3 linked regions of the Arabidopsis thaliana genome follow. The protein of the gene in region 1 interacts with the protein of each later gene in a pairwise test. Each region holds a gene or a part of one and is shown on either strand. Other genes may lie near its edges.

Region 1 (8,650 bases):
GCACCTCTCTTTACCCTTCTCGACACACATTTCAACTCCTTAGAGCAACATGAATGGTGGTCTATCTTATGAGTCCCTAAAAACCAAAATAATAATAATATTTTAATGTTGTTATTATATTTTAGTTTTTTAATAGAGTTTGACTACTAAAAGAACTACACGTGTATATTTAGGGTTGAGACTGTCCTTTAAATAAGGTTTTTTGGATCTCTTCTCTCCTCTGTCCTTCTCTTTTTAATTATTTTTTTTTTATTTTTATTATAAGGGATTCATAAGAGAGACCACCATTACTGCTGGTCTTAGATTCTTCCGGATTTCTGTAAGTTTTTTAATCTTTTGTTTATTTTTAGACCAGAACCTGAAGAACTATTTCTATATACTGAATAACTCGCTTTAATCTATTGTAATAATTCTATAATTTTTAGGTATACATTTCAATGGATCAGTTACTCTTTTACCTAATCACTCTATTTATTTATTTCTGTCATAACACCTTTTTCAGTTTTGTTTTTTACTTTCTTCTTCTTTTGTCTGATTCCTACTATGGCCTTTCATCCTTTTTTTTTTTTTGGTTGTGGATCTGAATGAAAGTTGTTCTTTTTGGTTTGGTGAGTACTTTTACAAAAAATGACATCTGTGAAAACAGAACTGAAGACTTTCAAGAAAGTAAAGTGAACATAGACACTTTACTATATTCGGATATGTGTTGCATATAATCGCAGTTGTAAATTGTAATTTGTCGAGAATAATTATCAATGTAGACAGTAATTTGCTAGATCTTATTATGCTAAACATGCATGCAATTTGGCTTGTTACCTTTTCTTAGTCAAACTCACTGTTTCTTTAATCTTATATTTAGGAAAAAGTCATTAATTTGGCGGGAAATTGTTGTAAAATGGCAACAGGTGATTCCTTTTTTTTGTCCTTTGTTTTACTTAAAATCTTCAAAAATATTATGAATCATATGATCACTATTTCCTTACATATTTAATCATATGATCAGTTGATCGCTGTTAGACACCATATCGTTATTTGATTATTATTCTTTAGATTCTAGGAGCATTAATTATTTCAGAGGCAGCAGTCTGAACTCTGAGTAAGTTCAGTTTGAGGAAAGCAAAAAAGGAAATTTATTTTGAATAGAATTTTTTTAATATAGACATTTTTTATACACATATATAAGAAGCAATATAGAAGGAAGATGTATAAACTTTGAAGCGGGCCTATTGCTATATAAATATATTTTGGGTGAGCCCTAACCCTCTTTTGTTTTTTTTCTGGCAATGGAAATTAAATGTTTAATGTTAAAATGATATCATGTTTCCTCAACTCATTGATCTCTCCTCACTAATTTTTGCTAGGAATATATCTATATATTATATATATAATCATCACTGTCCATAGTAATTAAAAAAACATTTCTTCAAAAATAATGTGATATTCGAACATGTGTTGTAACTTTATCCATGTATTGTGGTTTTATTTGTTTGCATTTATATCATAGTAAATCTTTGAAATTATGATTTGCATGTTTTAAGCAAGACGTGATAGGTACTTTGTTTTGAAATTAAATAATATATTTTTTTTTTCTTGAAAGGTTTAGAGTTTTGTCTTACTGTTGGGATAGTAACTTACTAACTTATGCCTGATAGTAACTTATTCTCATTTTGAATTATATAAGAGGTTGAAAATGTTGAATGACTATTCATCTCAGTTTTTACCATTTGAAATGATCTGAATGATGTTTAACTTTTTTTTTGCAGATGAATGAGCTGAATGATGTTTAACTTTTTTTTTTTCAACTAAAAAAATTTCAATCATTCAACTATATTTCATCCATTTGAAGCAATAGTATAATATAGTTATCTACGTGAGATTTGTTTGTTCTTCAGTTAAAAATGTGGATTATTGGATATCTATATAATGATATTACGGATATCTATAAAGGTAATAATTCATCTTATAGAGTAGAATATTAAACCAAAATTATAAATTGAGAACCAAAACGAATGCCATAAATTCTATAATGTAAATGGGAACTTGAGTTTTTTTTTTCTTGTTGAAGAGGATGTATAGTGTGGTTAGTGTTAAATATTGACCGATTCTCTGTTACGGTGAATGTACAAAAAATTAGCTATACAGTATTTATTATGTACATATACATTAATATGAACGGTGTTATGGATGACACAAAGGCATGCGACTAAACAAAGACCTGGCTCCTAGCACAATACGAGCTTCTAGTGTGCCTAGGACATAAGTAATTGTATCTTTTAACTCTTAAATATTGTTTTATTTTTATTTATTCAAATCACTTAACAATACTATCTCACTTTGACGGGTGCGAAATCCAATTAATCGGTCAACAGATTTTAACTCGGGAAAGCCAAAACAAAATCCCACCCCAATTTTTCTCCATTTACTAATTTTCTTTTTACAGGAGAAAAATATTTATTAATAGGATGTTATTCCTTTTTTCTTCCGTCTCACTTATATTCAAATTATTTTGAACGAAGAGTGACTTTTACTCTTACCAAATGTGCTTTGTTGATATTTAATTAATTACGTCTGTTCATATAATATTGCATGTCCGTACACACATGCAATGAACTCGGGGATCTACAAATAAACTATAATTTAAGAGGATCGATCCAATTGTTGTTTTATGTATATTATCTTCATATCTTGGACTCTCTCAATGAGATTGCATGTATGTGAACACGTAGACGTATACGAATACGTAGCCGTGAGCGTACACATGTATATGGATATGTATGTACATGTGTATGTTAGTATGTAGAGATCAGAGGGAAGAAAATATGGTCAATGGTAAGAGATGATTTGCGGAGTGTGGGAATGCTGGGCTTAGGGGAGTCATTAATCGCATTAAACGAGGGACGTGAGTTCCAATAATCCAAGTGGGTAATTTAGAGAAAGAGGTGATTTTAATTTTTTGTTGGTTTAAACTTTAGAGAGAGAGAGGGAATTAGGGTTTGGACTTTTTCTAGTTGGAAGCGTAGATTTGTCTTATTTACGACACTCGTGTCCCTATTTATTTCAATATCATATACAGATCTGCCAAACAGATATTTTAAAGAAGTGCATTTGTATTCATTTTAGTCACTTTATGTGCCAACATTATTTTAAAGTCCATTCAATGTAGTATTATTTTATTTATAAATGTGGTTGTGCATAAAAATTCTACTTTATTTCTATATATACTTGCATCTTTTTAATGGTTGCTAAATTAATTTACATCAGTCCCTCCTTGATGAGATCATAAAAGGATTATTTAAAAACATTTAAAGCGAGCCATAGGTTTAACTTTAAAAAAACCTGTTTAGCTTCCTAAAAATTATCTTTAAGACTTTAACAGAAATCTTCTTCTCCTTTGTTTCAACCTTCAAGTTACGAGAGAGATATATATATATAGTTTTTACTTTCTAGAGAGAGAACGTAAGGCAAGGATTTTGTTTGCAGCCATACTTGGAGAAAGCAGAACTAGATCTCTTCCTCTTCTCAATCCTTGACAAGTAATACCTCTTCATGATTTCTCTTTACCAAACTTGCGTTTCTCAAATCTCTTGACTTATATATCTTGTGATACGTCTCTAATCATTTTTTTTTTCTTCCAATTCCTATCATTTCAGATCAAATTATATACCTCACTGGTTTAAGCTTTGATTCCAAGAAAAGGGAAATGAATTCTAACAACTGGCTCGCGTTCCCTCTATCACCAACTCACTCTTCTTTGCCGCCTCACATTCACTCTTCACAAAATTCTCATTTCAATCTAGGTTTGGTCAACGACAATATCGACAACCCTTTTCAAAACCAAGGTATGTGCACTCACATTTATGTATATGTATGTTCATATTCAAGGCCTTAATGCAATTCTTTTATTAAACATATACTATTTGCTATGTTAAAAGCTTTTAAAAACGAAGGGTTCAAATATTAAGACATGTAAAATCGAAAGCATCATTGCACATGTTTTAAGATTGTTATGTTCATATATTTTCTTGTTTTTTTTACAAATTTTTGTTTGTGTTTTCACCACAAAAATAATTAATTATATTCTTTCTAATTAGGATGGAATATGATCAATCCACATGGTGGAGGCGGCGAAGGTGGAGAGGTTCCAAAAGTGGCTGATTTCTTAGGAGTGAGCAAATCGGGGGATCATCACACCGATCACAACCTCGTACCTTATAACGACATTCATCAAACCAACGCCTCCGACTACTACTTTCAAACCAATAGCTTGTTACCTACAGTCGTCACTTGTGCCTCTAATGCTCCTAATAATTATGAGCTTCAAGAGAGTGCACACAATTTGCAATCTCTCACTCTCTCTATGGGAAGTACTGGAGCTGCCGCTGCAGAAGTCGCCACTGTGAAAGCCTCGCCGGCTGAGACTAGTGCCGATAATAGTAGCAGCACTACCAACACAAGTGGAGGAGCCATCGTTGAGGCTACACCGAGACGGACTTTGGAAACTTTTGGACAACGAACCTCTATCTATCGTGGAGTTACAAGGTGTTTAAGATGTCTCAATTTTTTCGCGTGACAATAATAAAATGCGTATATAAATTTGTTACTTAATTTTTTGGGGTGTTATATATAGACATAGATGGACCGGTAGATATGAAGCTCATCTTTGGGATAATAGCTGTAGAAGAGAAGGACAATCAAGGAAAGGAAGACAAGGTAAGTGTAGTCATTTATTTGATTGATTACTTCATTTTATTTCCTCTTTCGGTCTTGTCTCGATCGAAATCTTAATTTCGGACTAATTATGTTCCTCATCATTCTTATGTTTTCTTGATGTTTGTATCTTGGACTTCTTCGAAATCTCTACAGTCTACTTAGGTGAGTATAAATGATTCTTTCATTTTTCTTTTGTTATTGATTATAATTTGATTTAAAGTAATGTATATACTGAAGAATGGTTTGTTTAATCGGACTATGCACTCAGGTGGGTATGACAAAGAAGAGAAAGCAGCCAGAGCATATGATCTAGCTGCACTTAAATATTGGGGTCCCTCTACTACTACCAACTTTCCGGTAAGTTATTTCAAATTTTCATGAATATTTGTAATTGTAATAATTGTTGATAATATCGTTAGTTCCTCCGTAATTTTTATTTGATTGCGTATTTTAGATAACTAACTACGAGAAGGAAGTAGAGGAGATGAAAAACATGACGAGACAAGAGTTTGTGGCTTCTATAAGAAGGTGATTTTCCTTTTAATCGGACCTTGAATGTAAAACTTCAAATAGAAGCTAAGTAGGAACTTTCTAATCAGATAATTCTATGAAAAAACTTTCTAATTAAAGAACCTCGCGTAAACAATTGCAGGAAAAGTAGCGGATTCTCGCGTGGTGCATCCATGTATCGTGGAGTAACAAGGCATCATCAACATGGAAGATGGCAAGCAAGGATCGGCCGAGTTGCTGGAAACAAAGATCTCTACTTGGGAACATTCAGTAAGAATAAATATTAACCATGCTTATATATAATTCTCTCAAATCATGTCTTCCTAAATGATATACAAGACCGTTTCAAACTAAATAGAGATCACTTTTTTTTTGGTGAGTACTATATAGAGATCATTAGATATAAATATTAAGTTTAATCTAATATCAAAAATATAATTCAGTTTTATTTTATAGAAAATTATGTGAATTAACACCACTTACAAGCTTAAATAGATATATGGTCATGCTTATATTCATATATTTTGCTCAGGCACGGAGGAAGAAGCAGCAGAAGCTTATGACATAGCTGCGATAAAGTTTCGAGGTCTAAACGCGGTTACAAACTTTGAGATAAATCGGTATGATGTGAAAGCCATCCTGGAGAGCAACACACTTCCTATAGGAGGTGGTGCGGCTAAACGGCTCAAAGAAGCTCAAGCTCTAGAATCATCAAGAAAACGAGAGGAAATGATAGCCCTCGGATCAAATTTCCATCAATATGGTGCAGCGAGCGGCTCGAGCTCTGTTGCTTCCAGCTCTAGGCTTCAGCTTCAACCTTACCCTCTAAGCATTCAACAACCTTTTGAGCATCTTCATCATCATCAGCCTTTACTTACTCTACAGAACAACAACGATATCTCTCAGTATCATGATTCCTTTAGTTACATTCAGACGCAGCTTCATCTTCACCAACAACAAACCAACAATTACTTGCAGTCTTCTAGTCACACTTCACAGCTCTACAATGCTTATCTTCAGAGTAACCCTGGTCTGCTTCATGGATTTGTCTCTGATAATAACAACACTTCAGGGTTTCTTGGAAACAATGGGATTGGTATTGGGTCAAGCTCTACCGTTGGATCATCGGCTGAGGAAGAGTTTCCAGCCGTGAAAGTCGATTACGATATGCCTCCTTCCGGTGGAGCTACAGGGTATGGAGGATGGAATAGTGGAGAGTCTGCTCAAGGATCGAATCCAGGAGGTGTTTTCACGATGTGGAATGAATAAAAGATGAATTCTCTGTGTTTTTTGCGAGGCAAGGTAGGGTATGGAATAATTAGCTACTTTAATTTCCACAAGTATTAGGATCGGCTGGAGTCTTCTTGATTAGTAGAGGATTTAGTGTTTTATTTTCTTACTTTTGACGGCGAAGATGATAAAACTTGTAGACGGCGGTTATCAGAGTCCTCGAGGGTTAGTCTTTTTAGGGGTACTATAGTAACATTAGAAAGTACCCGAATTTTGTTTAAAAGCTAACCCTTCTGACTAATTTTTCAAACTTGTATTCGTAATTTATAATTGAAGATTTATTGTTCTTATATTTTTATTTGATTATACATACTTACTAGGATTTAACCCATGGTACACCACGTAGCAAATATTTTATTCATATATATAATAATATTAAATTTTACGGTTTTAGTTTAGTATTAAAGTTATATAATTTTATATTAATGTTGTAAATAAAAAAATTAATGATGATAAAATAACAAAATAAATATTTAACCTGTGTTATATTAATTTAAATCCATCTTGCTATATTTCATATCTATCCAAACCCGTCCGGCTATATTTTTCGTCTCATGATATTTTAATTTTTTATAAGTTTAAATATTAGTTGTGGAATTAGTTGTGATTGTGATTTTATGCCGAAAAAATTATGAACTTTTAATTCCATGGAAGATTCAAACCAAGATAATGAATGTTTTTAGGTGCACATATAATTGGATTTGTTCATCATACGGGATAGTAAATGTATTTTGGTTTGTTTCACAATGTTTGTTTTAATTTATTGCCAAAATTTAATACATATAATTCAAATAGTTCAAATTTTTGTTGTTTTAAGATTTAATGAATATTGTAGGTGAGATAAAAAGAAGATAATTTATTATGTTTTGCGTGACATATGGGATTGCCATATATTTTAAATCTTTTTGGTTTGTTACACAATTAATTGCCGTAAAAAATCAAACCATTAATTAAAAAAATCAAATAATTAAAATTTAGTGGCAGCCATTGTAAATAAGTCACAACTCCATGATTTATTTCACAAAATATATGCAAAAATGTATATGTAGATTTATGAATTTAAGTGAAAATTGTGCATAATTATAATGCTTACTATGTCTCTATACATAATCTTTAACTCTATTTAGTCAGTGTGCACATAATTTTTGCTTATTAGAAAGGTTTCTTTTGGAAGGACTACAACTCTCAAGTCCCTCAACAACCAATAATGGGGAAAGAAGCTTAATTCTTGGGTCACAAAGCATATGCCTTTTGGGAAGGAGTTTAAAAACATACTTATCTGAGTTTCTGGTCGTTACAAGAATGAAAAAATATGGGTAGCTCGAGATCTGTGATTATGCGTTTACTCACATAGAAATAACATTCATTTCACTGTTGCATTGATCTATAAAAAAAATGCTGGTAGAACAAAACGTTGTACGAAATTAGTAGTGTATAACTTCCTCCACTTCTCCAAACACCAAATCTTGGATCATTCTTAGAGATTTTAATCAAATCATCACTTTCAGAAGACTATTTCTCGGTGAGAAATGATTCTACCCCTTCAAGGTATGATTGTATAGCTTACATGCTTGTTAATCAACAAATGGATTTATTTTTTACTGACATTGATTTTTTCCATACTAAAATCGACAATCAAGGACTTAACCTGTTAAGAGAAAGCTTCTTAGATAACTATTCACATAACTGTATAATATTCTGTTTTTCAAAATTGCATGTAAAGTAAAACAAATAACATATATTGTATTCTTTGTTTCATATATAACTGACTAATTAAGGAGTTCAATTCACTTTGAAAAATGACAAAGAAATAAACTAGCATTTTAACTTGTTGAATAGCCAAACAAAATGCTTTTGGCTTATGATTTTAGAGAATAGACAGTGAAATACAAGTATTGCTCAAACCCAAAAGTATGTATTTTCTCTGATTTTTGTAGTGCTTACAATTAATGATAATGTTACAAGTACTAGACTTTACAAATCTAAGAGACACAAGGGAAGTTTTAGCATTTTTGATCGATTCAATTGAAGTACACGGATATGCAGGTACATATTATGTGTATAATGTAAGAATAGTCTTTGTTGTTGAGTTGCACACAAAAAAAAAAGTCTTGGTTGTTGACTTTCAGAAAGAAAGTAA
Region 2 (6,541 bases), about 13 Mb from region 1:
TCTAATCCGTTAAATAGGTCCTGACTCGAGCTTAAATCACCACATTTGGCGTACATAGTGATAAGCGAATTTTTCACGTGTTCATCTGATTCAAACCCAGCAGAAACTATATAGGCGTGTAATGGTTTCCCCCGTTCAAGTAAATCACCCGGCAATAAGCAAGCACTAAGAACACTTACCACTGTGATATAATTTGAAGAAACACCTTCCACTCGCATAGTTTGAAAAGCCGCCAGGGCCTTGTCGGGATCTTCGTCCTCAGCATAGCCACCAATAAGAGCATTCCAAGCTACTACATCTCGTCTAGGCATCTGTAATAGTACCCGTCTCGATTCGCTCATCTCACCTATCTTTCCGTACATGGAAACCAATGCATTACCAATAATCTGATTGTAAAATAAACCGCTGACCACTACAAGTCCATGAAGGATCCTACCCTTCTCAAAAAAATCAGGAGTAAAGCAGGCAGCCAATGCGCTTGTAAAAGTCACATAGTTCACTGATTTTCCGGAACTTATCATTGAACAAAGAAGTCCTAACGCATCTAAGCTCCTCCCATCGTTGACAAAAGAAGCCATCAAGGAGTTCCATGAGATCAAATCTTTAGTGGGCATTTGTTTGAACACTAAATTTGCCTCTACTGATCTTCCAGCGCCTGCATACATTCTCAAAAGAGTATTGCACACACAAACAACCGAATCAAACCCCATTTTAACCACTAAACCATGAATTCCTCTACCCCATTTTTGGTGATCTACATGACCCAAAACTGATAACAGAGTAGACACAGTGGTGGAGTTCACTTCATCATGAAAACGACGCATCAAACTGAAAATCCTAAATGATTCCTCGATATGACCATTTTGTGCATATGCCGCAGCAATCGAATTCCATGAAATTGTGTCACGTTCAGACATTTGATCAAAAATATAATTTGCATAGTCTACATTTCCCATACTACCTAACATGGATATGAGCGAATTCTCCACTGCCAGCTTACTCTCCAGTCCCGATTTGACAACCTGTCCGATAATTTGACGACCCAAAGATTCATCTTTAAGCAATCCGCAGGAACTGATTACCAAAGACATGGAATTTTCGTTACACCCAACTCCTTCTCCTCTCATACCTTTATAGATATCAATTACTTCCTCTGGCTCACCCTTATCCGAGTAACCAACCATCAGTGAAGTCCAAGACACCACGTTTCGGTCAGGCATCTCCTCAAAAACCTTCCTTGAACACGAAACCAATCCATAAACCCCATAGAGATGCAAGATAGCAGTACTAACGTAAACATCAGACAACAAACCAGACTTAGCCACAAAGCCGTGAACTTGAACCCCTTCTCTGAACATAGAACCAGACCGACCACAAGCTGTTACTAAACTAGCAATCACAAAGCTACTTGGCTTAATACCAAGATCACACATCTTCCGAAAAAATTCCATTCCTTCCAAATACAATCCAACACGGACTATCCCCGACATCATGGTATTCCAAGAGACTTCGTTTCTCACAGGCATTATATCGAACAGGTGGCGCGCAGGTTTGACTCGGCCAAACTTGGTGTACATGTTAATCAAAGTGTTGGTGTGCAACACACTCAGACGAACTAATCCCTTGACACAAAGCGCATGCACAGCTCTCCCCGTAGTCTCTATAGTGATTTGAGAGAAACCAATTTGATCGAAACAAGATATTTCCGGGTTCCAATGGTCTGAGAGCGAGAAACATCCACTCAATCTGGTAACTTTTTTTCCTTCCACTCTTTTCAAACATTGCAATGTCGAGATTCGTCGCGTCTTGAACTGGCGGGAGACAGATCCACTGAGCAAACGAGAATCGCCGCCCTGAAAAAACAGGACTTTGCGTCGCCAGCTGGCCAGCTCTAATTCGTCGGTGTTCAACGGTGGTTCCCGGAAAGATCAACGATTTGAAACCAACCTAGAAAGCAAAAAAGACTGCTCTTTTAAATCAAAAACCAAAATAACCGGAAAGGCGTACCAGAAACCGGAATCACTGGACTATATAAAACCGTTTTGTACCGGATCTTAAAAACAATAATTGCAATATAAACCCTGTATTATTATTTTATTACTTATTTTACCCCAAGTGTTTTCTCCTACACCATTTGAACCCTCTGCAAGTCTCACAGTGTTTCTAGGTCTCGCAACGACAAATGGACGAAGAAAGATTGGAAAATTGATCGGATTTTTTCGGGTAAGTTCTCTGAATCGTTTGTATTCTACTTCACCTTCCACATGGTTGAGAACTCAGATGTAGCGTAAGTGAATCTAATATCTACAGAAACAAACAAAAGCAAAACAAAAAAAAATGATTCCTTTGAAATTCAGCATTTGCAATTGAAACTGTGTGAATGATTCAATCGATGTATTCATCAGAATCTGTGAAAGCTAAAACATTTTCGTTCTTCAAGTTTTACTCTCTTGGCTGAAGATATATCTATTTTGGAAGAGAAGTCTATGTTTGTTCTTATGTAGAAACTGTTAGGTGATGAATCAATTTTCATCTGTCAGCTTTCCAAATCTAGGTGGTTGTTACTTGTTAGCTTGTGATAACTTGATTTCACTACAAAGCAATCATTTGCAAAATACAATCTTTCAACTCTGTAATATCTACATTTTGTCTACAATTCGACGTTTCTTCGTTGTTGCTACTACATGCGCCTATCTGATCTTGCTTATATACTAATAATGCCAATAAGTTAGCTAATAATTCCATTTTCAAGGTGAAAATGACTTGCTTTATGGCTTCATTAATGTATGAGGAGCTCGTAACTCTCCAAGAGTGATGATGAATGTTCATCTTCTGTTCCCTGTTTATGCTGTTGTTGTTGTTGTTGGTTATCGTTTTCTTCTAACCCGAGTTCGCTTTCCAGGTGCTTAAACCATTTATCAACTTCATCTTCTTCAGACTCTTGAAGAGCTCTGTTCTCTGGTTGTTGGAATGAGTCTGAACCATCTATGAAACTCCAAATGTCAGGATCTAAATCAAAAGGCATCTCCAGCAGCTCTGGTTTGTCTACCTCTTGTAACATCCCCGTAAACTCGCTATAAGTTAGAATGTGCTCAAACATTTGACTTATCTGTGCATCATCGTCTTTGCTTGAAATGTTGGAACCAGCAAAAGACATTGAAGCATTTGGAGATGACTCTTGAGAGTTCTCTTCTTCATTCAAAGAACCTTTTGAACCCGCTTCATCGGCATTAAGGTTAGTTTCCGAGCTCAATCTTTTCTTGAGATGTGTATGCCACACATTCTTGATCTCATTGTCTGTTCTTCCAGGCAGCTTAGAAGCAATCTTCGACCACCTGAATCCAAAATGCAGAAAAGCTATTGTCAAAATCAAAACTTTGAGCCCACAACAAGACATTAACAAGATAACACATACTTGTTACCAAAGCTCTGGTGAAGTTTGATGATGGTGTCTTCTTCCTCTGCACTGAAATTGCCACGTTTCACATCAGGTCTGAGGTAATTAATCCATCGCAGACGACAACTCTTGCCACACCTCAACAATCCTTCATTGCATGCATAGATAGAATCAGAACCAGAAGACTAGAAAAGCTAAAGAAAGAGGCTTTTAAAGATCATAGACATACCAGCTTGCTTTGGGAGAGATCTCCAATTCTCATGACCATTCTTGTGAATGAAAGAGATGAGTTTCAAGTCTTCATCATGGCTCCATGGTCCTCTCTTCACTTTGGTTTTGTCACAACATGGTGCTCTTCCTTTGCCCATATTCTCTCTCTCCTCTCTCACAGACACACACTTTTGAGATTCCCTCTTACCAAATCCAATTGCTTTTATGTGTATTTATACATGAGAAGTGGTGTGTGTGATCCTGACATTGAGAAACATGTTATAAACCACAGACATTGACAAATGTCACATCAGATTTGTTGAGGTTAAAAACTTGTCTATATTGTGGATGAGTATCTGGCAAAATTCACATCTTTTTTATAATTGTATAGTTCGCATTTCTATATGTCATTAATAAACTATTATGAAAATGTAATCAACTAAACACAGATGAAACATGTTTGAAACTTAGATACTGAGTCTCATATTTTTTATTCAATCATGAAACCTATAAAGATTGCCTCTGACCAATCTATAAGTTGAATCCATCTTTATGATGTCAAAAGAAAGGAAAAAAAAAAATACCTGTTCCTGTGATTAGTGCTGTTATCCTAAATTATTTTGACTAATTTTGTTGTACTGCTGCAAAATGCGCAACTCGTTAGTTAATATTAGCTAATTTTGAGATTTGACTAATTAGGGTGTCTGAGTCAAATCAGATAGGATTGTAATAATTTTTTTCTGTCTATGGCTATACCAACTTTTGAAAAACGGTTTTAAATTTTAACAAAATGAGAAAGTTTGATAAGTGGAAATTTCATGAATAAAACTTGACTTAGTAATCTACCAAACAAGACGTAAGGATGCTATCACCTTCCGATTGGCACTCATATTTATAAGGAAGAAAAAATTGACTGGTTAGGGTTAAGAATCGTGGAAGGCTGAATAAAATTCTAATCTATAACCATATTATACATATAAAATCATGCTTAAGAACAGTAAGAAAAAATATGTACATCAGTCCATAGTGGATTTATTTTAAAGAAAATGGGTCCTATAACCCTGTAACATGTGTATACTTTTTTGTTTTCTTCGAATACAATGATCAAATTAGCTTTCCTTTACTTTATACACACACAACATTTCTCGACGTTCTATCTTTTTCTCCTCTTTTTTTTAGTCTCCATCCCTCTCATCATGACTCTTTTAAATAATTTTAATCATGTCGTCTATATATTTCTCATATATATTTGGATTTAAATAACATACACAAATTATTTGGTCAAGTCATAAATATTATAAACGAAACATATATGACATATGTTTAAAATGTTATAGAACAATATGGTTATCCAAAACCTCTAACATTTATATATCTTTTACTTTTTGAAAATTGTTATAAAACAATATCGTAAGCTTTTACCACTACTTTAACTTTAGTTTATGGTACTCAATTTAGTCATTTTGGCCATAATATACTAACCTAAATTCTAAAGATACAATGTATATCCACTACTGATTAATATTACGTTCATCAATCTAAAGAAACATACATATCAGCATCAATCGCTTACTTAATAGGAAGTTAAGTTAAAGATTCCAAATCAATAGTATGATTTATATTCCATATGCCAAACAAGATATGACGAAACACATCATGCTTACGTTAAATTATATGACGAAAATTAAAGTTGACATGGTGTTATTTTGGCAACATAAATAAAACTCAACTAGCAACTACAACAACAACAATTTTTGTTCTCACATGCATGTCCTGTATAGTTTTGTCTTTAAATCAAAACATATAACCAAAAATCAATTAGTATATTGATGGATCTTCTAACATAATAAAGAAACTTTTTTGGAGAAGATATAAGTATTTATTCGACAATAGCATTATTGTGCATGCATCTCTAGTAAAGTTATAATCATATGTTCCTTTGTTTGGTGAACAACTTACGAAAATGTTATTTTAACTAGAACCAATTAGGTTCGCACTGGAAAAAGAAAAGTTTAGTAAACTAGGTTGAAAAAATGGAAGAAAGTTGAAATATCCCAATTTGCATGACGAAAGCAAACGTGTTGCTATTGGCACGCCTCTGTCTCTAGTCTTTGATTTGGTTCGGCCGCCCGTTTTCGTAAATAAAATACCACAAGTACAATGAAATGAATCCGTAGTACATTTTCTGTTTACTAAGGTGTGAATAATAGTTGAATTTGCCTTTTAATATTTGTACCGCTAACTAGCTAGCAACGAAGAGTGGTGAACGTATGTTACAATATAAGAAATTTGGTCTATATCTTATTGCGGTTGGACTGCATAAATGTGGTACAACAAATTAATAATTCTATGTTAAAATGTATAAAATTATACTTTGGACTAGTACTGGTGAGCGTCATATATTATCCCTTTAAAGGAGAGATGGCTCCCTAATTCAACTATTCGGTCTCAAACGTATTAAAATGTATAAAACTGAAATGAGCTCAACTGTTTAACAATATAATTCTCTCTATTCTATAGTTGTTTCATGTTTGAATAGAGAACCATATTTTTAATTGATTGCAACGTTTGTTCTTTTTTCTACAACAAAAGTTACAAAACAAAAATACTAAATAGAGGATGTATATATGTTTGGTGACAGTATGTATGTACAATATAATGTATTTGTTTGGTGAAACACCAAAGTTTTTTACTAATAGAAAGATGTTTTTATTAATAGATTTGATTATGCATTTGATTGGTGACTGGTGTGATACTAATGGTCATACTCATACGTCGGTAGCAGTTGAGCAAGATCTTGTTTGCCAAACAAATTAATTAGGATTATATGTATATTTCTTGGCAAAAACAAAAGAGATTTATATTTTCTTTGCCTTATGTGCAATGAAATTCAGAAATGCATCCCTACTGCAATTCGATTTGGTCAAAATCATT
Region 3 (6,553 bases), 1.3 Mb from region 1:
AAGAACCGGTATTATTCCCATATTGACGTCAAAATGAAAGGCCCACTTTGTGGGCTTTATAATGGGCTTTACTCTATTTTGTTGAGTTGAAGCCCAAAATCTCCCATGCATCATAAAATGTTTTTAAGTTCTACAAATTTTTTGATTTGGAACGTTTTTCCTTCAAATATTGGATACAGTAAAACCTCTATAAATTAATAATGTTCGGACTGCAAAATTTTATTAATTTAGAGGGGTTTTAATTTATCGATAATTTAATATTTATTAATTAATAGAAAATTTTTCCTAATTTAGTAACTTTTCAAAAATTTGTATAAGATTTTTTTTCATTATAGAAAATATCTTTCAAGAATCAATTACAAGTAAAAAATAATATCATATTTAGAAAATAACACCAAAAGTTTTTGATATAGTAAAATACTAAAACTATATTTCAAATAAGGATAAATACAAATTTAAGCAAACAAATATTAGAATTATATTTCAAAGAAATTTCTTACATATAATGTATATATATAATTGATACATTTAAATAATTATTAATTTATGATATTGATGAGACCATATATTTATATAGGATTTTCAAAAAAATTATTATCTTATTAATTTATCGATTTGTGTCACTTTTTATACTGATCCCAACTCGGAACCAAAAACATTTCTTAATTTATAGAGATTATTAATTTATCGAGTATTAATTTATAGAGGTTTTACTAGAGTTTATACTTTAGAGGATGGGATTATGATCAGTGTTAATTGATGAATACAAAATTTAAAAAGTTTAGTATGTTTTATTGCAAGTTTATGCATATACGATCATGTTGAATTTCAAACGAACAAATTATTATCTTATTATATGTTTGGATTTGAAACTGCAATATATATATATATATATATATATATATTTTAAAGATTCATTTATAGTAAGATTGTTTTAGGGATAGTATAATAAGAATGATTAAATAATCTTGCATTTGAGAGAGATCAATGTATGACCTAGACAAAAACGATGATTCGTCTTCAAGTGAAAACTATTAGACCACTATCACTTGGTTAAATTAAATTAAAAGTATCATAAACTAGAGATTTCTTCATGATAATGTTGTTTGTATCTTCCAAATCAATCACAAACTATATATAGTATCATAAACTCGAGATGTCTTTAATCATTGTCTTGTAATTCTCATCTTTTTTAATAAAGAATTTATTTTGTTTGTAGTGAAATTTGTCTCGATTTTTCTCTCTTCTTTGTTTTCAGCTTCTTTTCTTGAGAATTTTTTCTTTATTCATTCAGATTTTAAAACTTTTGTTTCATATTCATAACACATATATATAGTTAAATAAGATATTGATCCGCAGTCGGACATATATAATCCGAAAAGTTTTCCAAATTTGCGTTGCCATGACGCCCATGCCAGATTTTAAGTCTACAAGTATGCAAACCAATAAGTAATGTCGATCGATTACACAATTTTTACTTCCGTTTTCCCTCCTATATATGACAAAACCAACCAACTCTAGTGATTAAGTACCATACACACCTAATGATAAAAATTAAAATAAAATAATGCAATTTCTTTTTGTGGTAGAAAAAATAATTCCACAAACCTCCTCACCCTTTTTCACCAGTCAAACTAATTCATAAGCAAAAAACAAGTAAAAAAAAAAATACTATATATGAAGTACCCGAGTATATTTAAATAAGTTGAGAAAAGAAGTACTAGATGATAGTATGAGATATGGATTTATCAAAGGGAAGCGGGGAAAGTGGCGGAAGAAGAGAAGATTTCGTCAAGTGTCCCGTTCATAGAGTCTCTGCATTGAAAGTCTTGTTGGATTGACATAATCTCTGCTTCGTTCATAGAAAGTTGAGGGAAATCTTGGAGTTGAAGAGGAGGATGATATGGAAGCTGATGAGAATAGTTTGAGAAAAGATGATCATGATCGTCCAGAAGAGAAGATGAGAAATGAAGAGCAAATATGGATGAGCTGTTTGCTTCGTCTAAAAGGACCCCTTGAGTTAGCTCTGATGAAGATGTCTCCGCGGATGCTCTTTTCAAGCTCTCGTCTTCAATATAATTACCATCACATTTTCTCCACTTCTTCTCCTTTTCTTCTTCCTCTTCTTTTCCTACACTAGTGCTCTCTTCTTCTGCTTCTTCTTCTTCCCCTTTTCTCTTTGGAATTTGTATGTTCTTCTTAAACACTCGGCACAATGCATACGACTCCTGTTTTAGATCAACATTAATATTAGTCGATATGGTTTATCAAAAAAAAAAAAATTAGATCAGAAATGAATATAGATATATATGTTAATAGAAGTTTGTGCATGGGAAATAATTTACCTTCAAGGAGGAGGAAGGAGCGTGCGTGAGACGATATTCATGCATGACCCAATTAGTACGAAGGCCATGAGGAGCCCTTCCTCTATAATAAACCAGTGTCTTCTTCATTCCCATCTTCATCTTCTTTGATTCTACTGTACGATCTTTCCCCGTGGCCTTCCAGTAACCCGCTCGGGTCGCACGGTTCGTCCTAGAGCCATTTGGATACTTCTTATCCCTTGTGCTGTAAAAGTACCATTCCATGTCGTTTCCCGGCAAAAATGACTTTTCTGTTCCGCGTATTATCCAAATAAATAACTCATAAAACCTCCAATATCATATGTATGAATGCATCATGACCAATATATGTAATCTATAACGTCAGATTGACATAAACAAGCTGAACCATATATAGAGAGAGATATAAAGAGTTGGATCGTACCAGGCAAGTCCCATGGCTCGCATTTATAAAGATCAACTTCTGGGATGATCTCGAGCTCAATGGCTTGGCCGTTGACCTTCCTATCAAGATAGTAAGCCACCAGTTCTTCATCAGTGGGATGAAACCTGAATCCTGGAGGCAAACTCATGGGCGCCATTCAAAGTGTATGCGTTAGAAAACGAGAGAGAAAGAGATGAGAGAGATTAATTAAAGTGATTAGGATGTTCGTACGACATATGAAGGTGACTATATATAATTAAAAAGATGAGACTCTGAAGAAGATATGATATGGGAATGTGTAAAAGTATGCCATGGGATTGGCATCTTCTGAGATTAATATTTTGTCTTACTTTGGGTTGCTTTTTGGTCAGTGTTTGTCATGATACTCATCACACATATTTTCTAAAACCAATATATATATTTTAAATAAAAACCTAACTCTGGCTTTTGAAGATTCTGCAAGTGTGAAAACCCTAGTAGGAGGAGAGACGGAAAAAGCTTTAGCAAGAAGGCCCCATCTCACAAATACTCACATATATGAATGTATATGCTTATAATTCCGGTTAGACCTTAACGTGGGTCATGAATCATTATAGAGGGATTTTTATAACGTTTGCTTTAAACCAAAAATGAAGGCTTTTTATGATTCAACAGTTTAGGGGACCCATCTCTTCTTCTCAAACCAAATCTACCTGGCGACACCTAAACACTCGGCTTTTTCTTTTCTTTTTTTTTCGGTTTGACAGTTTTGTTATATTGTTTTATGTTGTTATGGTCTTATAATAAGAATACTTATAAATTGAATTCATATATATGATTAAAAAATGGGAGAATAAAAAAGCAGGAGGCATCCAAGTCGACTTTGGCTTTAGTGTTGGGAGGCTTCTTTAGTCCCTTTTACATATGGATTAAAGACGTTGTTCGGCTCTTTTACATCATTACTCCCACACAATCTTTGACTCTCTTTCTCTCGGCCCTTCAATTTTACTAACTTCCGGTCAAATCTCTTTTGCCTCGACTCTCGGCCTCGATCCAAAAGATAAATTAAAAAAATAAGGACATCTTCATTCTTCACATGTATGATATATATAACTCATGTCATATATTAGATGTCTCGTTTACATGGTTTTTTTTCGTTTGCTAATATATATAATTCACATGTAGACGAAGAACATTGTAAACGGAATTTAACAGAATGAAGTAATCAAACGTTTTATGTAAGGAAATGATCAAATACTGAGGGAGTCCACAAGTTGCGACATATATAAAACTCCTCCATTCTTATAAAGTATAATATTCAAACTTCAAGTAAGTAACTCTCCCTTTTCCGTGAGAAAGAAATAACAATAACATTTTAGGGAAGCTTTAAGATGTGGTCACCAATAACTTAGGGAGAGAGAGAGAGAGTGACAGATACAAAAAACAAAAGATAGCAACTGAAAAATATTTTGGCGAAAGATGCTTTAACAGTTTAACTTATCAAACGACAACAACAAGACATGCCCCAATTGTTTCACCACTTTGTTTTTCTTGGTCACAAATCGAGTCTAAGTCTATATGAACAAGTAATTAATGTGAGTACTATATATAAAAAAAAATGTGACTATATATATAAATGTTGTATCACAAATGCAAAAGGAATGTGGATTAATTAATTAATAAAGACAACGAGGAAGCTAACATGCAAGCCTAACTAAAGACATGCAACCTTTGATACGATCTAAGGGGAAGCGAATAAAGCTAATTAAGATCTAAGCATCTTATCTTATCAACCCTTTTATATTTCCATTTCACATGTATCAAGTACCTATACTCTTTCTCAAGCTTATAGTATTGATATCTAGAGTATCAAATAAACATTAATTAATTAGACGTAACACAATAGTGACATTATTAAATGAATAGTAAACAAACTTTACGTGTATATATATCCATGACGAAATTGGCAAAGGCGGGACTCTATGGGGGAATCATGATAATACATACATACGATATACATGTTGACATGTATCATGTATCATGATAATACATACATCATCCCTTTTTTGTTGGTTTGTTAATAAAATGATCATACATCATCTTAAACATCAACATCAATCACAATTCTTCTAAAAGAGAAGAAGAGTCTTGTTCAGAAAAAGTAGCATCTGATTCCCTACATGTCGGTTTCCAAAACATATTTTTTTTCCATCTCATATTAGTTTGTGCTAAACAAACTGATCCAAGGAAAAAAGAAAAGCCTTTAAATAATACAAGTTGGAATCCCTGTGTCTCTAGAGATTCTTGCTTTCATGTTTTTTCACGCATCTCAATTATAGCAGAAGAACAATGTCACTGTCCAAAAACATTTGCGTTATTTGCCTTTTGCTTTTCTCCATGCATTAAATCTCATTTCTACCCTTGTTAAAGTGGTCACACTCATTACTCTTTTTAATATACTAATCCTACAGGACCACCTCGTGATTGTTATCTCAAATTTTGATTAATTATTCAATCAATTAGCCAAAGCAGATCTTCTTCAATTTTAAGATTTTGATGATTACTGTTAAAGCTGACTATCACTGCGGGGAATTCAAAGATGATGCTAGTATACAAAAAGAGAAGCATGGTTTCAAATTGCAGAATCAGGCCCATATATAAGTGGGCTTGATTATTTGGGCTTTTGGAAGAGTGTGGCCCAACATAGAGATATAGAGCTGTTATCGTCTGTCTTTCATGGCGGAGCAGAGGTGATCGTTTCACTATTCAATTTCACTCGTCGATCATTACCAACCTCTGCGGGCAAAGATGGAATTCGAGAAGATCAAGGTGATCAATCCCGTTGTTGAAATGGATGGTAAGTGTTCGAACAGTCAATTAGCTCAAATCTATGATTACGATTATGGGTTTCTCGTTACTCTGATTGATTGATTTGCTTATATTGGAGTATATGTGATCGGCTCTGTTCCGGGTTTTTCTTTTCTTCTATATGTTATAGTTTTATGAAATAAATTCAGAAACTTGACTCTTTATTTATTCTCTGTGCACAAGCAGGAGACGAAATGACTCGAGTTATCTGGAAATTCATCAAAGACAAGGTAAAAATCTTAACTTTTTTTTAAATCTTTAATCACAGATTGAATTCTTTTTGTGATTAAAATCTTGAGAATTTTGCAGCTTATTTTCCCTTTCCTGGAGCTGGATATCAAATACTTTGATCTTGGACTGCCTAACCGCGATTTCACTGATGATAAGGTTACTATAGAGACTGCTGAAGCTACTTTAAAGTATGTCGTCTTTACATTTTATACTTAGATATCATATTCTCCATGCTTTCTGCTTCTAGTGTTGAGGTTGTTCTGTGAATAAAGCTTGTTCATGGCTATTGGTTTCAGAATATATTGTCTGCCTTAAAGTTTTTTTCTTTTCTTTTCTTGTGTGAAGGTATAATGTGGCTATTAAGTGTGCGACGATTACTCCGGGTATGTATTCTTAAACCTTTGCAATTTTTAATTTAAAAGTGTGCTTCTTTCACTTACTAACAACAGTTTTTGCTTTCAACGACAGATGAAGCTCGTGTTAGGGAGTTCGGCTTAAAGAAAATGTGGAGGAGTCCTAATGGAACTATAAGGAACATTTTAAACGGTCAGTTTCTTCGCCAAAAAAGGGGGCAATTCCTTCTTCAATTCCTAAGCTCTAAGATCATGTTGTTATTTTTATGCAGGCACAGTTTTCAGGGAACCTATCATTTGCAGAAACATCCCTCGTCTTGTTCCAGGTTTGTCAATGGCTGCTCTTTTTGTATGAG

What was found.
Region 2: the proteins of PLT2 (region 1) and MYB58 interact in a two-hybrid assay, tested with the Arabidopsis thaliana proteins (one study listed by BioGRID).
Region 3: the proteins of PLT2 (region 1) and NAC020 interact in a two-hybrid assay, tested with the Arabidopsis thaliana proteins (one study listed by BioGRID).

The regions. Positions count from the first base shown.
Region 1 is NC_003070.9:18,973,817-18,982,466, forward strand, and holds PLT2 (Integrase-type DNA-binding superfamily protein), read left to right. Parts: upstream 1-3,359; 5' UTR 3,360-3,533; intron 3,534-3,650; 5' UTR 3,651-3,700; coding exon 3,701-3,839; intron 3,840-4,091; coding exon 4,092-4,539; intron 4,540-4,627; coding exon 4,628-4,710; intron 4,711-4,863; coding exon 4,864-4,872; intron 4,873-4,978; coding exon 4,979-5,067; intron 5,068-5,164; coding exon 5,165-5,238; intron 5,239-5,362; coding exon 5,363-5,490; intron 5,491-5,752; coding exon 5,753-6,489; 3' UTR 6,490-6,802; downstream 6,803-8,650.
Region 2 is NC_003070.9:5,627,080-5,633,620, forward strand, and holds MYB58 (myb domain protein 58), read right to left. Parts: upstream 4,010-6,541; 5' UTR 3,766-4,009; coding exon 3,627-3,765; exon of another isoform or gene 3,546-3,626; coding exon 3,416-3,545; exon of another isoform or gene 3,398-3,415; coding exon of another isoform or gene 3,336-3,397; coding exon 2,780-3,335; 3' UTR 2,576-2,779; downstream 1-2,575. Other genes in the region: AT1G16480 (Tetratricopeptide repeat (TPR)-like superfamily protein), read right to left, coding at 1-1,577. UniProt on the Arabidopsis thaliana protein: Transcriptional activator that binds DNA to the AC cis-elements 5'-ACCTACC-3', 5'-ACCAACC-3' and 5'-ACCTAAC-3' of promoters and specifically activates lignin biosynthetic genes during secondary wall formation mediated by SND1.
Region 3 is NC_003070.9:20,277,967-20,284,519, forward strand, and holds NAC020 (NAC domain containing protein 20), read right to left. Parts: upstream 2,987-6,553; 5' UTR 2,924-2,986; coding exon 2,767-2,923; intron 2,615-2,766; coding exon 2,346-2,614; intron 2,229-2,345; coding exon 1,749-2,228; 3' UTR 1,541-1,748; downstream 1-1,540. Other genes in the region: ICDH (isocitrate dehydrogenase), read left to right, coding at 5,554-5,602, 5,800-5,843, 5,923-6,032, 6,190-6,227, 6,313-6,390, 6,470-6,523.